Lepisosteus oculatus: one gene and its partner. The protein of the gene in region 1 purifies or fractionates together with the protein of each later gene. This does not show direct contact. Links are inferred from orthologs where the notes say so. Each region holds a gene or a part of one and is shown on either strand. Other genes may lie near its edges.

Region 1 (8,085 bases):
AAATAAGAGGTAAAGGTGTTACAACCCTCTGTTTTCTGGAGGTCATACAGTATTTCTCCGTTAATGGAACACTAGGATACTGCTAAAATAAATGGAGATCCAATATTGGAAAACTAGAAATACAATTTCCTTAGTCCACAATATCATAAAGGAATACAATAAACTTGATGTACATTGAACTTGTGAGGGACCACCGAACAGTACAAACCCTCACTTTTATAATATGATGTTTGGAGTTGATCCAGTCATCCAGTATTTTGGGAAATTTAAGCTATTAAATAACACAGCACCGACTCTTCCTGATGCAAACACTATGCTTTTGTTCTAAATATATAAAAAAGGCTCCTTTTATGCCCCTTTAAATCCAACATTGCTTATACATCTTAACACATCTAAACAGCAAATAACGGCTCAATCACCAAAATAAAGAAAAAAGGGGTGATTGTAATTAAGCATGCAGTCTTTTAATTTTTACTTTAAGAGCAGTCAAAGGTGTAGCTCAAAGAACTACTTCTATAAGTTCAAACACATTACTTATTACAAACATACAGTATATTAAGAATAAAATGCTGTAAATCTCTTTGATACATTTATCCCAGGAAGTAAACTGATGATGTTTTTGTACAAATCAAGAATTTTTAACATTCAAGCCACTCCATGGGAGAATTACAGCTTCACAGATTGACACTACACAATAGGATCTAGTTTTAGGCAGCACCAACCTCACACACACAGGAGAATCTGTATTGTAACTCACTGGCAATATCTAATGTGAACCAAAGAAGCCTACCAATGTATTGCAAACCTCAAATGATTTAGTCACCTATGCCACCAAAATTACACTGATGGTGATCCACTGACTGGCGAGGACTCCAGCTGGAGACAAAATTCTTCCCTCTGACATCTCATGAAGCCACACATATGGGTACCAGCACTGCCGGCAGAGTCTTAAAATCACCACAGGGTAGTGTGCAAATTCTGAACAAAATTAAACATCCCTAGAGGTTAAAACAACAGTAAAAATTTCCAGTCGAAATTCAGATTCAGGAGGGGGAAACTTCACAGGAGGAATCCATGCAGTGAAGGAAGTCAGTCACCTACGCCCTGTGCTGGTTTTTGTATTCAGTGCTGGGCAGCTAACTTGTGTGGGAACAAAAGAAGGTGGTGCCGAATTAAAGAGCCTTTTTGACGCTATTTGTAGAAATTACGGAAAAAAAAACTTTTTGTGCAAGGCAAATACTTTAGATAAGAGGTCATGATTAAGGTCATCTAGGCCCAACTGCTGTTCAGAGCTCCGCACTGTTCAGTACCTAATGTCTCCCAGCTAAATCAATATACTAAAGCACTAAAATATTACTATTCTGGTGATAAAAGATAAGTTCCTAGTTATGAAAGCAATAACCACTATAATAGAAGGATTGTATGAAAGAGCATTTTCCGGTTTCTACCGAAACAAAAGTGGATAGGGGGATTTAAAAAATGTTAAAGATTCTAAATTAAACATTTTCAACATTCCTGCATCATGGGGCAAACTTTCCATAACTGCTTAATGGTTACAGTACTCCTCTAATGTTCAATTATGGCCACCACGAGAATCTTCTACAGATAACTATTTTACATGACACCTTTACATAGAACTATAAAAACTATAGAACTGCTCATAAAGCTGTGTCCTCATAAGAACAATTTTTTTCAGCTTTTATGAGAGGCAGAGACATAATTTATTGAATAACAGCCTTCAAGGGACGCAAAATGATTAACTGTATATTCTAATATTGATCAATACATTACAGTCACAAAGTCATTTAGGAGTCAGTCATTCAGACATTCTTAAGATGTATCCGATTTGGCCTCATCTCTTTGTTAGGAGTAAATTGAGCGTTTAACATCTTCCTTTCATCTGTAATTTCTTCGTTGTTGTTTGAGACCTTCTCAGCAATCAGTTAGGTTTCTAATCAAACAGGTTTTAGTTTTCATTAATGAGTTCCAAACTGATTGTCACTTCTTTAGATTGTTCAAGCAGGTAACTGCGTTAGCATGCGCAGGCTGCAAAGGAACAAGTAAAGGTTCCTAACATGCTGAAGAAGAAGGCCAAAACGTTGTGTTTCTTTTCTTCTCCTTTCGGCATGGAATTAACCTTTACTTTTTTAGATAGAATAATAGGATGGTGTGATACCCCACTGACCACCAAAATGGAAACACTAGAGAAGTACTCTATTGTCTGTGATTTTTTAATATTTCTGACCCTTCTTGTTCCTTTTCTTTCCACCCAATTCACCTCTTCACCTGCTCTAGTTCTAATTACTCCTTCCCTTTCTATAAATCTTATCCCATCCTCACTCTTTTGTGAAGGTCTCCTACTGTAAATTTCAGAATGTCTGAAGTTTCTGAAAGGCAGACAAGAAGCGGAGAGATACCATGATTGGCTAAGACAAAACAGGTTAAGACCAGTGGCAGACTGACTACTGCACGTACTGTGGTCACGGCCTGAAGTCTCAGCAAACAACAGTTCAATAAACAAGCAATTAGGTTTACAAAATGATACAAATACTTCAGAAGAAATGCATAAACACTTTCGTGATATATAAAAGTAGTAGTAATTGTACAAATAATTAGAGGGTAAGAAACATGCAAATTAATTACGTTCTTAATGAAGAAATAATATGGAAACCTGTAAATGGCACTAAAACAACAGATGTCCTTGAAATCCTGAAAAGAAGAAGAGCTTCTGAAAAAACACCTGGTCTTCTATGACTTTTACGGCACTTAATGGATTTAGGCTCAACAGTTAGGCAATTTAAAATAATACATACTAGGTGTCAAAGGAAACTGACCAATTCTGTCTGCAACGAAGTTATCAGGAATTATCAGTTAAAGTTATCAGTTATTTTTGAAGCTCGTGCACTGAAATGATATTGAATATATATGTGACATGGATGGGTTTATTATGCTTAACATTTGCCAACAACAGGATGAATCAATAGAGGGTCTACAGTGAAAGTCAGAGTCTAATAGTGTCTGTGATACATGGTTTGCACCTGGTTGCAGATGCTGTTTTGTGGGATTCTGTCCTCTTTTAGAGACTGGAAAACATGTTTTTCGCAGCCCGAGATGCCAAGTGTCACCTCAGCTCTTCTCACAGATAAGTAATGGGGCTCCAGCCAAGTGTCACCTCAGCTCTTCTCACAGATAAGTAATGGGGCTCCAGCCCCACGGTTCAAGTAGGGCAAACCTGGGGATAACAGTAATACCGTCTTCACACGGAAGACAGGACACAGGAAGCTGTTGATACACAAGCGACAGGAGGATGAGTGTTGTGCTACTGAAGTGCTATGTCAGGTGAGATCCCAGGACATGAACAATATAGTGCCATGACGTTAGGTTTCCATGAATCACTACCAGTGGTGTTCTGTAGCAGTTAAACACCCTTTTAAATGTTCATAAAAATTTCCGTAAATGTTTGCCCATGTGAGAAATAGACTGATTTCTGAATCTGAATGACTAACCATTCAGGAGACAGAGGCACTAGAAGTTCACTCATAAATACAGAAGAACAACTTTGACACCATGTTGATGCTTGTATATGGGATTATCAAACTTTTTAAAAATTCCACTGGAAAGCAATAGTGATGAAAAATGAGGGCATTTGACCCCTGAACTCAATTATTTCAACACACTTAAACTCAGAACTTTTTCATTTTACCATATACAGTATAGTAGTTTATGTCTCGTTACCCCACGACCGTCTTCTGAAGGCTTTGTATTGAGCTTGACATTTACTTGAGACACCTCGCTGCTTAAGATGGATTGGCTCCCAAATTGTCAGGTTTTGCTCCAACATACTGATAGCATGAACACTTTCATGCTCTCTTGATGAATTAATAAGACATACTGTATAGACCCCTTTCAATGTTTTTTCCTTTCAGTTTTACCAGTTAGGACATTCCACAGTTTGAATCACGTGCAAATCTGTGCCCAATCAACACTCACTACTGAGATGGTTTGGCGCTTATGCTAACGTCTGTCTAAGCTAAGCGAGCGCATGAGTCATGCTCAAACAAAATGATGCCAGAACATGTAAGTAAATCAATATCCCAAATCGGTATACTTTAAAACACATGTGACATAGAGGGATAAGTTTCTTTCGATTCTTAAGTATACATTCTTAGGTTTTTATTTTTGCTGGAGGAATCCTTTACATTACCATATATATTTATGCATATACACGTTTTTCTGTATCACAAACACATTTTAATATTCCTGAAATGATCATACCATATAGTACGTCCGCTTTCTCCATATAATAGGTATACTTAAAGTGGTAAGTGTATTAGAATTAGTTAAATGCATTCGTATGCCTTTATAAACAAAATGCATTTAAAATCGATTACTGTACATAATTGATGAGAGAAAAAAAGCTATGAGCACTAACAGAAATTCCCACTCATGTCACAGCTGTTCGTATCGATAGCTAAAAGATCGATGTAAAAGCCAGTATGACACAACAAAGAAATCCCGTGAAACAATCTGTTAAAAAATATAGCTATACTCATAATACATACAGTAACAAATAAGTAGCGATAAAATCATTTCCCAGAATTCCTCGTCTTTCACGCTCTCTTTTTGAAATTAGTTAACCGCCATCCTGTTTCGAAACGAAACTTGGCTTAACAGAGTGTCAGTAACAGTGTGCATTTTAAACGCATTTTTCTTTCGAAAAACCTGCAAAAAAAGGTCACGCGTTTATTTACTTTTTAAAATTCAACCTTCAGCAAGAACTGGTTGTAAGGACATGAAAATGAAAGTAAAGATACATCGTGAAGAATTATGATCTTTTTCTATGGATGTACATATTGATCAAAAAGTGCCCGGTCATAAAAGCTCTTTGTAGAAGACATTCAAGTTCTAAATTTGACACTAACATCACTTTTTCTGGACACCACAGCTGCCTGCCTTTCATTTCTGTAAACACAGCCAGAGCGCTGCGGCACCAAAGCTAGCAGGAGCGAAAGCAGCGCTGCATGCTGGGATAGGCACCCTTGTGCACGGCTAGCCCTGTTGAAACCAAGATGGCGGAATTGATTTTGTGGAGATCAGAGAGTGGAACAGGCCTCAAATGAAACATCAGTTCAGTAATCCAGGGACCTCCGTCGTTATCGCAGCTGCAGCAATAAACCCCCTTGCCGTCTTGCTGAAACCTCGTCGTGACTAAGGGAATACCTTGCACAACCAAATCACACTATATACACACACAACTGAGAGAGAAAGTCTCGTATGAATTCCGACGAGAAGCAGGACTGTGAGTGTGCGCCACCACAGGCCGAGCCAGCCCCTACAGGAGGATCCGACAGGTCGGTACGGGGCTGGGGAAAGGGCCGGGGATTCCGGTCGCGGTCGGGCAAGTAGGAGAGAGGAAAGGGAGAGATTGCCTGTTTTGTACGGCAGGTGCACGGTTATTAATCCACCGTTTATACCTTTCCGTGTCCCCGTGTTTGCAGTGTGTGTCTTTCGTGCTCCGCCTTTTAAAAAAAACGGCATCTTATTCTGATAAGGTTCGGTTGCAACATTTGCCAAGTCTTGTTTTTGACAGTTGGATGTTGACAGTAAACAAGTTGCTTTAGGCCGTAGGCTGTACGATATGTTAAGAATTTCAAAACTGTTACAGTCTTGCAAGCGCTTACCTGGTTCCGATTTTACAGTGCTTAAGAGAATGAGCCATTTAAAGTGACACACGGAAAGCAGTTATGGGAAATGCCGTTCTGTTTTTAGCATCTAAATGCACAGCAATAGTTAATCATGCACTGTCATTACCCAGTAAGGCCTGTCAGCTGCACGGAGCTAGCTAGTTACTGTTACCTGAGTAGTATATAGGGTTATGACGTTTCGTGATGCACGATCAGATATTTTCATTAAACTACTTTCGTACTGCTCGCAATAAGGAGAATGATGGCATTGACTTGGTTAATAGAGCAGCTAAGGTTTATCCTTTGCTAGGCCCCTCCAGTGCACCGTGTCAAACATATTTACACTATTTACCAATGGCAGTACGCAAGCCTTTAAATTACCCATTGCAAACGTTTTGAGTTACAGGTCTATTTTCTATTAGATTATAGAAGTTCTCGTATTAGTCCTTTTGATGTTTATACATTTCTTTGATTTCAATTTTAAAAGGAGCCATATAGTGATGGTTTGTGTCTCTGTTTTTCTATTTTATGAATTTTATGGGGTAGGTATATAAAAATAACTCATATTGTGAATAATGTAGAAGTGTACGTGTAGCTGAAGTTGTCATTTCTCCTCAGAGCAGCGGTCTCAAACTTAATTCCTGGAAGGTCTCCCTAGTGTCTCTGATCTCGGTTAAATAGTCGACTTGCTGAATGAATAAGCTGCTTAATTGAAATACATTGAAACCGGTCTTTGATGTGCTAACTGTAGATAGATATAAACTAACTTTGATTAAGTGAATGTCATGTGTGGTCAACTGTAAAAGACGTTTCGTAAATAAAAATAGGTTCAATGTTGAATTGACTACAAAAACCAGCAGACACAAGGCCCTCCAGGAAGTAAGTTTGAGACTACTGCCTTAAAGATATCAATGACCTTTGGAGCAGTGATTGATACCTGGAGAAGCTGCTATGTAAACTTTCCATTCTGTCATTCATACTAATTCTCTGAACTGTTCAAAGCTGAGAAGAGGAAGATTCCAATCTAGTAGTAGGTAGTCAGGTTTGACCTCAGAGTTCAATGTGTTTGTGAAAGGGTAATGGAAATTGTGATTACAAATCTGATACCAAGGCACAACTAGACTGTGCGTTAAAGTAGGCACTCTGCAGTTAGAGGCCCAGCAAGATTTTTTCATGGAATGACAAGAACATGCCTAGAGTAGACACGTGTAGTGTCAGGTTGGGAGTGTAAGATTTGAAACTACAGAGTTAATTTCACATTTTGAATCAAATACTTCATAGACTGGAGATTTAGGATCATGTGATTTCTAGGAGAAGGATAATGTCCAAATGGTATTCAAATAACTTAACTAGTGCAGGGATTGTTGGTGCTGGTGTGGACAGGATTAGAAGAATTTGAGATAATAGTGCAGTTTTATTTGTAGGCAGGCCCCCATGTGTCACTTGCTTAAAGTATTTTATCGCAACAGAACATCATTTTTTGCTCCCCATCTGTTCACTTTCTGAAGCAGCTTGATGCCCAAAATATAGGACTGAAGTCATAGTACTTCATTTAGCAAAGCCAGGTTCCCATCTCTTGTCATTGTACAATGAACAAAATGATAGGACTTTTATCTTCGTTGAAAGGTTGTGACAATTACTGTACAATGAACGTAAAAGCATTATTTTAACCGGATTTTTTTGTGCTAGTGGTCATGTTTAATGAATATACGATATCGACCCATTCAGTGTGATTTTAGTGTGTTCTTTCAAAGTTTTCTCTTTCTGTCAGAAATTAATTCTTTATCCGATATTGTTTTGCATTGCTTTTAGATCACCAGGAGAACCTGACATAGAGAACCCTGAAGCAAGCCGAATGTGAGTGAAATGTTCGGGGGCTTTATTGTTTGCAGTACCATGTCCTTACCCTGTAGTCTTACCTTTATCATCACAGCATCAGTCGTGTATTTTTCTTTAACACTGGTTTTGATGCCAATGATTTTTGACCCATTGAAATGTCTTACATACTTTACTAAATGTTTCAATGCATTGTTTTTTTACTTGAAGGTGCACATTTCTGTAAGCATGAACTTTCTGCAATATAGAGGTGTATGCATGGCGTTTTATAAGGCATGATCTTATTTTCATACTCCAAATACTTGTGCACATATCATTGTTCAAGAAAAGAATTAGAGAATTTGTGCCTTTCTTCAAAAACACCTTATTCTTTTCATTTTTATGTGTGCTGTAAGGCAGTCATATTTCATTCTAATTTGTATAGTGTACACTCTACTGCTGAACATGAACTCCTATAAGACTTTTATGGGTGCTTCAGAATAATTTCAACTTGCCTAATAAAATATTACAAGTTCTGACTTGTGAGAGAGACCTTCTCCGCCTTAATAGTTTTTCTAGAATTCTT
Region 2 (8,052 bases), on another chromosome or scaffold:
TAGAACTTATTAATATAGTTTACCATAGAACTCCAATGCAACAAAACAATAAGAAATTACAGATTGTACTCCATAAACGATCACTAGGAAACAAAGCTGTAATAACGTTGTGTGTCCTACGTTAGAGAGACTAAAAAGTGTAGGATGCTACAGTTCAGCCAAGCGCAGTCAATGCTTACAGACTCCAGGATGGTCTTCTCGAAGATGTCCAGCCGACGAGTCTCAAGGGCAATGCCAATTGCCTGTTTGTACTTATGGTCACCCAGGCAGCGCAGAAACATTTTGTTAACAATGCCCTCCAGTCGGGGGTCAATGCTTTTCCTCTCATCATCCGGCAGCTCTGCATTCTCCACACGCTGCTTTGTGTAGTAGTCAATACATTTTGCTGCATGAAAGAAGAAGCAATGGATTGAACTGCCACTTCCCAGCACTTCAGCTATGACCGCCAAATGCAGTTATACACTTGTAATGTATAAGCGTTAAGTGGAGGGATTCCTTTGTACAAGTGTTTCTTTTTTGTCTTAATATTTTATCTTGTTTCTGGAAATATTCAAAGTGGCCCACTTTGACATAACAGTTACAGGGCAGGAAACAATTTAACAATTCAAAACAACTGTCCTGGTGTTACAACTAATTAGAATTAATTCTGAAATTCCACCACCTTTTCAAAAGAGACAGAGGTAAATCAAATATGCAGAAAGAAAGAGTAATAATAGGACACTTCAACATTTTCTAAACATTTACAGTCTGGTTCATCACACACTTCGATCACTATCATTAACACTTCTGAACTCACCGATGATAGTCTCCACATACTCAGAATCGTCATTGACATTGAACAGGTCTCCAGCTCCCAGAGCGTAATTCAGAGACTCTTCAAACGCACCCAGATGGTAGAAAACTTTGGACGCTACCAGTGCTGCAAACTCCCTGCTACGGAACGTCTCATCTTCATAGAGAACCTCACTTAAAGAGTAACATAAAATGATCAGACCAAGAAATGTCTATTTTAATTATTACTGTAGCTGTAACAAACAACATATCTAGTGATAAGTACCCTAGTTTACACCCAAGGCACAATTAACTAATCAGACATCAACGGGATAGAAACAGTTAGCTCAGAGGAAGGTTTAATTATGTAACAAGGAAACCAGCTCCAAGCTTGTATAATGTAATATTCACGGCAAATAATTTCAGATGTATTTTTATATAAAACCTATTGATAATTGGAAAGGCTAAGCGTGCAGAATGATTTATGTATTTAACCATTCTTGATATGGCAAGGAAATGACATTTAGAGAAGAGACAAGTTAATCTGTGAATAACAAAGGTAGATGAGACCAAAAAAAAAAAGATTCTTACATTTTACCAACAGATTCTGAAATCTCAGCCCAGAAATCATTGACAATGGAATTCAGCTTGTGCAGAGCAAACTCCTGTATCAGAAATATTCAGGAAAACAACATAGGATACTTTCATGACATGCACAACACACTGCAGATTTCACAGAACTGCCTTTGGCAGGTTTATCGTCTCATACGATTATTATAGTCAGGAAGAGAACAGTTTAACTGTGCTATACAATATAAATAAGAGTCCTGAGGAATTAAATAAAATTCATAGTAAATTAAAAATTACAGTACAATTATATTAGAAGTTGGCATCATTAAAGTTCAATGCAGTCCCAGGGTTAATATATGTGATCGATTCCCATAGGTACTAGAAATGAAGTTCAGTACTCCTGCTTATACACAACTATTATGCACAAAGTGTAAAGATCAACAAGAACAGTGTGTTTCTGTGATTCTCAGATCAATGGACCTCTGTTTTTTTACAGTATATGCACAAGCTTATTTCTGCAAATAAGGTGTACTTAAGGCAAACAGTTCACCTTGAGCTGAGGCTCCTCTTCATCCAAAAGAGAGATTATTCCAGCTAAAAAAGGAAAGGAAATGTGTCTGAGTTGACAAATACAGCTACCAAAATGTTTAACACTAAACTGTAGAGACGTGGATCTGAACACATGAATGACCTTTAAGTATACCACGTTAGTAAACAATCAATCTTCTGCTCCAGTAAAGGCATGTAAGAAGGTCATCGACAGATTAGTTACCAATGATAGCACTGCAATACTACTGGAAAAGGTGGTCCAGCCTCATTATGTCTAGACGAAAAAATGCAATATTTACAACAAATAATTGTATTTATAAGAACAAGACAAACGAATGTATGAAAACAAGTCTGTACACAATCTTACAAATGTTACGCAAGAGACAACTGCTCTACATATTTTTAGCTCCTTTGACCGATTGTCTAGAAATGCCATCCTATGATCGTACGAATGAAGTTGGATGGTAGACTACATCTACCACAGTTAGAATATACTCTGGTTGCACATCTGTACACAAGGTACATAGGAACCACAGAATCAGCGGGACGCGCTGAATTTCCTGTAAACAAACACAACTACAAGGCTACTAAAATAACTCGTCAGCTGCCATGTGGAAAGTGACCAACATTGTAATGGGAAACACAGTTATGTGTGTTGAAACAGGTTTGTTTACAACACGCGCAAATACACAAAGACTAGAAAAAAAAACATTTTAGTAGTGAACTCGGATGGTCGTATTGGTACTTTTCCGACACACGGCGGACAATCGTGGTACGTTTGTTTTTCTTGTTATTCACTTGTTCCGTGTTATAACGAGATCAGCAACAACTGATTGTTTGTAAAATGTCCCATTAAGGGTTAGGGGGTCCAATAAAAATATTTTACATTGTTGTACTACGTTTCATAATGAGATACTGTACAACTTAAAAGGCAAAACACACTTATTTGCATCGCTCAGTCTTTTGACTCTGTGACTCAGCTAAATCTACCGGGTCGCAATCAACTGCTTAAGTCACATCTGCATCCTCTCCTTACCCGCTGAAGTTATCATGTTTGCTGAAAATCCCTTATTACTCCTCCGGTCTCGACTCTTCAAACAATAAAATGTCTTCGAAGAAAAAAAGAAACACTTTCAGTCAGCAATTACTCGCCTCCCGCTACCTACTGTGCGACACTTTTCCTGCTAATTTTTGATTCACAAAGAAAGTCCTTTGACAACCGGGGGCCTTCCAATATGTTAAGACTGCCCAAAACTGTGCCTGATTATTATTAGATATACCTCATTTAAAATAATGAGTTTGATACAAAATTAATATATTATTCTAACAATAGTCACATAAAATGCAAGAATAAGCATTTTAAGATCACATTTAACACTTTAAGAGACGACATTTTATATTTTTTAAAACGGGCATATTCTTTTCACTTCCGAATACTGCTGACCAATAGCTTAACGACTTTTTTTTACTAGCGGTGATGAATTCTTAACATCGCCCCCTACACAAAGGAGGGTATCTGTTCCAAAAGTAAGGTATAAAGCTGTTCTTGGTTATTGTTTATCCTGCATGTAAACAAAAATACATCAAGTAGAATACGCTACATAAAAACAGCTCTAGAATTTAACGTTTGACATATTAGTAGTAAGTAGTCCGGTGTTTACACGCACTATTTACAATATTCAGCTCTTAAATTCTCTTTCAGTTATGAAATCTTTTCTCAAAGAGAAGTACATTTCACCGGAATTTGACAAACATACCCAGTTCAATTTGTAGCCAAAAAAAACTAATTTAGAATCTCCAGTTCCTCCTTTAGAATAAAGTAAATGTTTGGTAAAATGACACGTATATCTGTTTCACTATACCCGTTGCATATCTTTTTTATATCAGTACTAAATTAGCATTTGACAATGTACCTTGGAATGCTTCATTGTTTAACACTTTCCCCTTTAGAAAATGGAGATAAAATAGCAGAGTCATACAATAATGACTCATTTTCAACTGCCTGAAAAGTATGACTAGCTTAACATTAACAGACCCTATAAGGCACCTAATTTCTCGCTGTTCAAATGGATTTTATCGTCCTTATAAGACATATTTCTGAAGATTAACTGATGAATTCAAACACTTCAAATATTAAGAAATACATTGGGAAATTTCTGTCAGTGAAACATTTTCATTGTAGAAAGTTGAATAAAGCACAAAATGTAAAGGGAGCTTCTAGTACTAATGACATGGAAATTAACTGATACCTTAAAGCTGCTAAGGCTAAAGAAAGCCAAAGTTATGTCTTAAGCCATTAAACCTGTTGTAAATTGTTATAGGTTGTATGTTTAGAAGTGCTAAGCAATGAACAGTGAAGTGACATGGGTATAGCACTCAGGATAACTGATTTCCAGCATTAAAAGCATAGCAGGAGCAAAGCTGGTGAACTTTTAATTTATCACAAGTTTGAAAAGGAACAAACAAGACACCTTTAAAATGTGAATTTCATTTAATTACACCATTAGCAGCATTTTATAAATTATTTAAAACAAATTGATCAAATATTAAAACAATTTTATTAAAACAACACAAAATAATAAATCTTGAGACTATGCAAGTAAAAATAAAAAACTGCAAAATAGCTATATAATCTTTTATTAGTTGAATCCATTACTTCTATACTTCCCCACATAGATTGACAAAAAGCAAAATAAAAAGGAAATGTTCACAATAATTTGGAGCTAATAAAAAAGATTGTCTGTTTTTATAGCACTGATTATTATTTTAGAATGCAATGCTAGCATAAACTTCACTGGTGTTACATATTACTGGGTTAGCATTATATCGTACTGTAAGATTACTAAAGATTAAAAAATACAAATGACAATATACAATGTTCTTCAAGTATAGAAGCATCAGTAATTAAAACCTAATCAAATATATAGTACTTTTACTGTGTTTATATTTGTAAAATAAGATTTAGTTATCTTAAACTTCATCATTTTTTTGTCTATATATTTTTAAAGATACATAAATATTTACAATAGGTAAGAACAAAATAAAGGTTACAAAGGTTCATTAGGTTCAAAGGCCATTAGGTTCCATATATATCAAAATGAAAATGTATCTAAAAAGCCCTGAGTATTATCTAAGAGTACATAAAATTACTTTAGGTGCTAAATACATTAATCCTAATGGATTCACGCTCTTGATAAACCATAACTAAAACTTCATTTAACAAGGAAAAGTGCAGGTCTACCAATATTTCAATATTTAAAAATTAAAATGATAATGTATGAAAGGGAGAACTGAATATGTCATTTCCATAACTGTGCAAAAACAATTACATCCATTTTCTAAATACATGATGTTCAAATTCATTAATATACTGTAAAAATTGAAAATTTATTTTCAGTATTTTACTTATCTGACAGCAATTTGCAATTTGCACCAGCGATCATTGTAAACTAACTTTGAGATGAATCAGTCTTTCAGCTGATATCAGAGAAATTAAATTAAACTCAACATCTTTCCTACAGGTATCTCAGTTTCAATTAATTGACCTTGTTAGAGAAATTGAGATACAGTACCAATGTGTTAAGAAAGCTGCAGAACAAATCCCTAGAAACTAGTCCTTGACGGTTTCACAGGTTTATCGCTTTCCTACTAAGGACTAACATCTGTTTGAATCCAAATCTTCTTTGCATTTTAAGATTTCAATATTTAAGTTGTACAGTACTTTATTTACTGCTTAAAACAACAGTAAGTAAAATACTGTATCGTGTAATATAGACTAAGACAGCAGTGTGGAGCAGTGGTCAGGGTTCTGGAGTAATTGGAAAGTTGTGGCTTCAGATCCCAGGAGAGACGTACTTCACCTAAATTGCTCCAGTAAAAATACATTTCCAGCTGGGAAAGTTGCTTTGGGTATAAGTGTCAACCAAATAAATTAAAAATTCAACATTTTGTAAATATGGACAATGTTGACAGGGACACAGATGAACCACAGAAATGAAAGCTCATTTCTAAAGGGGCTCCTGCCCTTTGTGATTGCCAGAGATTTCCCAATCCTTCATTAATATTTCTACATAACACACTGGCATGTGTGATTACTCCAGGAGATGTGGAGAAACTCAACAAGTCTCCTCTTCATGAAGACGGATGTGATGATGCATTTGTAACAGACCAGGGAGCTGCAGACAATATATCTGCTGAGGACTCTCCTGATCTTACACACACTTGAAGGACAGCATTAACCTTGTATTTGTCCTTTATATCCAGCCTGATTCATTTGAGTTGGTCTTTTTCTTCAACTTCTCCTGATAAGAAGAAATATAAACAATCAACCGCTCACTAAGGTCTTATAAGACTGTCATGCCAAGAAATCAGTTTCCAGTTACAATTTTCTGAGAACTGCAGCTATTTTGTCTGTAAACTGGCAGTGAATGCCTTGTAAACGTTAGTATCTTAAGCTGAGGTCAACACTTTTACCCCAAGTCACAAAAGATTGCTCATTGGCTCAGTTTTCTTCAGGCCTGGCTCTCAAGACTGTTCACCATGGAATCAATCTGTCGGAGGTCAGAGATGGAACTTGTCAGTGGGATTCCTTCTTCCGTATCCCTTAGTTTACCTAAAGGAAAATCCAGAAAGACAAATAATTCAGGAATGTCCATTCTTCTTGAGCAAACTGCAAATGCCTGGATATGAAGAAAAAAAACAAGGAATGATCTAAATCACAGACCTCGACTCTAGCTCGCCTCTGCATTTTAAAAGAAGTACAGTACATTGGCATTGTGAACTTTTCTGTGGCCCTAAAACACTACAAATGTAGCGTGGTTGGTATACAATTTAGAGAAATATAAAAGAAAACACAAGCTGCACTCTGCAGTCTATGGCTAGAATTTAAAAGGCACTTGTGAGTAAATGTTGTAAGAGTAGACTAAGGAAGAACACTCCTCTAAGCAAGATAATGCCAAATTCCTTTCATTCTTATTCGATTTTTACACGGCACCCTGTTTTTAAATTTTGACACATGTATCAACTGAAATATAATGAATATCAAGTACAATTTCCTTCTTTTACGTCCCCGACAACGAAAAAAGCTCGTATCGCTTTATTCTTGAAACATTATTAATAATGAATTGTCTTAAATCAAGTGTTATTCATTTCTTTTTGGAAGCAATATACAATATTTGTTATATGTGTATTTTGTATGCAGTAAATCACATTTAATACAGTACAAAGCTAGAGTCGAGTGCAAATTAAACCTGAGTGGTTAGCGGAGATTTGTATAAAACTTTCACGTTCTCCGGAAGAGTAAACCACATTGGCACAGTTCATGTTCCAAGAAAAAAAAAAGATTTTCCCTTTAAGATTCATCCGTTTAGAACAGTAATATCTATTTTTTTTTCTTTCGAGAGTCTTTTTCCTTACATCCCTCATACATATTTCATGCATTCCCTGGCACTACATCAGCCGGTACCAATAAGGATATATTATTATCCTCAACATATTACTATACTCATGCTATTTTTAACCCGAATTGAATACTGCACTGTTTGCAATACACCCAAGACAAAAACTTAATACCTGTGCGAGGAGACGCTTGCACTGCTTTGCAGACGTTTCTCTTGATCTCCAGCATTCCGTCCCCTTTGTTGGGTATGAAGTGCCCGACCCACACCGAATCGGGGGACTGTTTTCGGAACACCGTCCGCATTGAGCGCTCCAGAATCCGGACCGACTCGCTGGTCTCTGCGGTCTCGCTCCTCGAGTGAATCAAGCCGAGCACAGCTGGCAAGTCGTCCGCTCTCCGGCTACGAGCTTTCACGTCCTTCAGGATCTCCTTCAGGCAGATTCGGTTTGCTTTGCAAGACACAAACTCGTGCCTGAAAATAAAGATTATAACAGGCGAGTCTATGGCCCGCTCTTTGGCCTGACAGGCTTTGCCAATTTTCCAGCGTGCCTTTCTGCCCTGCTGAGTCCGGTCGCTATCCACCCCAGGGGTCATGCGATTGAACTCCGATCCTTCCGGCCTCCCAGTAAGAGATGTTTCGTCCTTTTCGGGAACGTGTTTTTGGGACCTAAAACAAGCTGCACGGTCGTTTCTTGTAGCGTTACTAACCGTACCATTACTGTTATTGTCAGGTATGCTGTCAGCTCCGCATCTACGCATAGGTG

Evidence for each region.
Region 2: the proteins of ube3a (region 1) and psmd1 purify together in Homo sapiens (affinity purification with mass spectrometry, with the first as the bait; 3 studies listed by BioGRID). This does not show direct contact. The link is inferred for Lepisosteus oculatus from reciprocal best matches to the Homo sapiens genes UBE3A and PSMD1.

What each region holds. Positions count from the first base shown.
Region 1 is NC_090710.1:22,991,420-22,999,504, forward strand, and holds the start of ube3a (ubiquitin-protein ligase E3A), read left to right. Parts: upstream 1-5,042; 5' UTR 5,043-5,274; coding exon 5,275-5,351; intron 5,352-7,496; coding exon 7,497-7,541; intron 7,542-8,085. UniProt on the Homo sapiens protein: E3 ubiquitin-protein ligase which accepts ubiquitin from an E2 ubiquitin-conjugating enzyme in the form of a thioester and transfers it to its substrates.
Region 2 is NC_090708.1:8,525,949-8,534,000, reverse strand, and holds the start of psmd1 (26S proteasome non-ATPase regulatory subunit 1), read right to left. Parts: upstream 3,099-8,052; 5' UTR 2,943-3,098; coding exon 2,927-2,942; intron 1,936-2,926; coding exon 1,892-1,935; intron 1,437-1,891; coding exon 1,363-1,436; intron 967-1,362; coding exon 797-966; intron 386-796; coding exon 180-385; intron 1-179. Other genes in the region: uncharacterized protein C2orf72 homolog, read right to left, coding at 6,402-6,502, 7,462-8,052.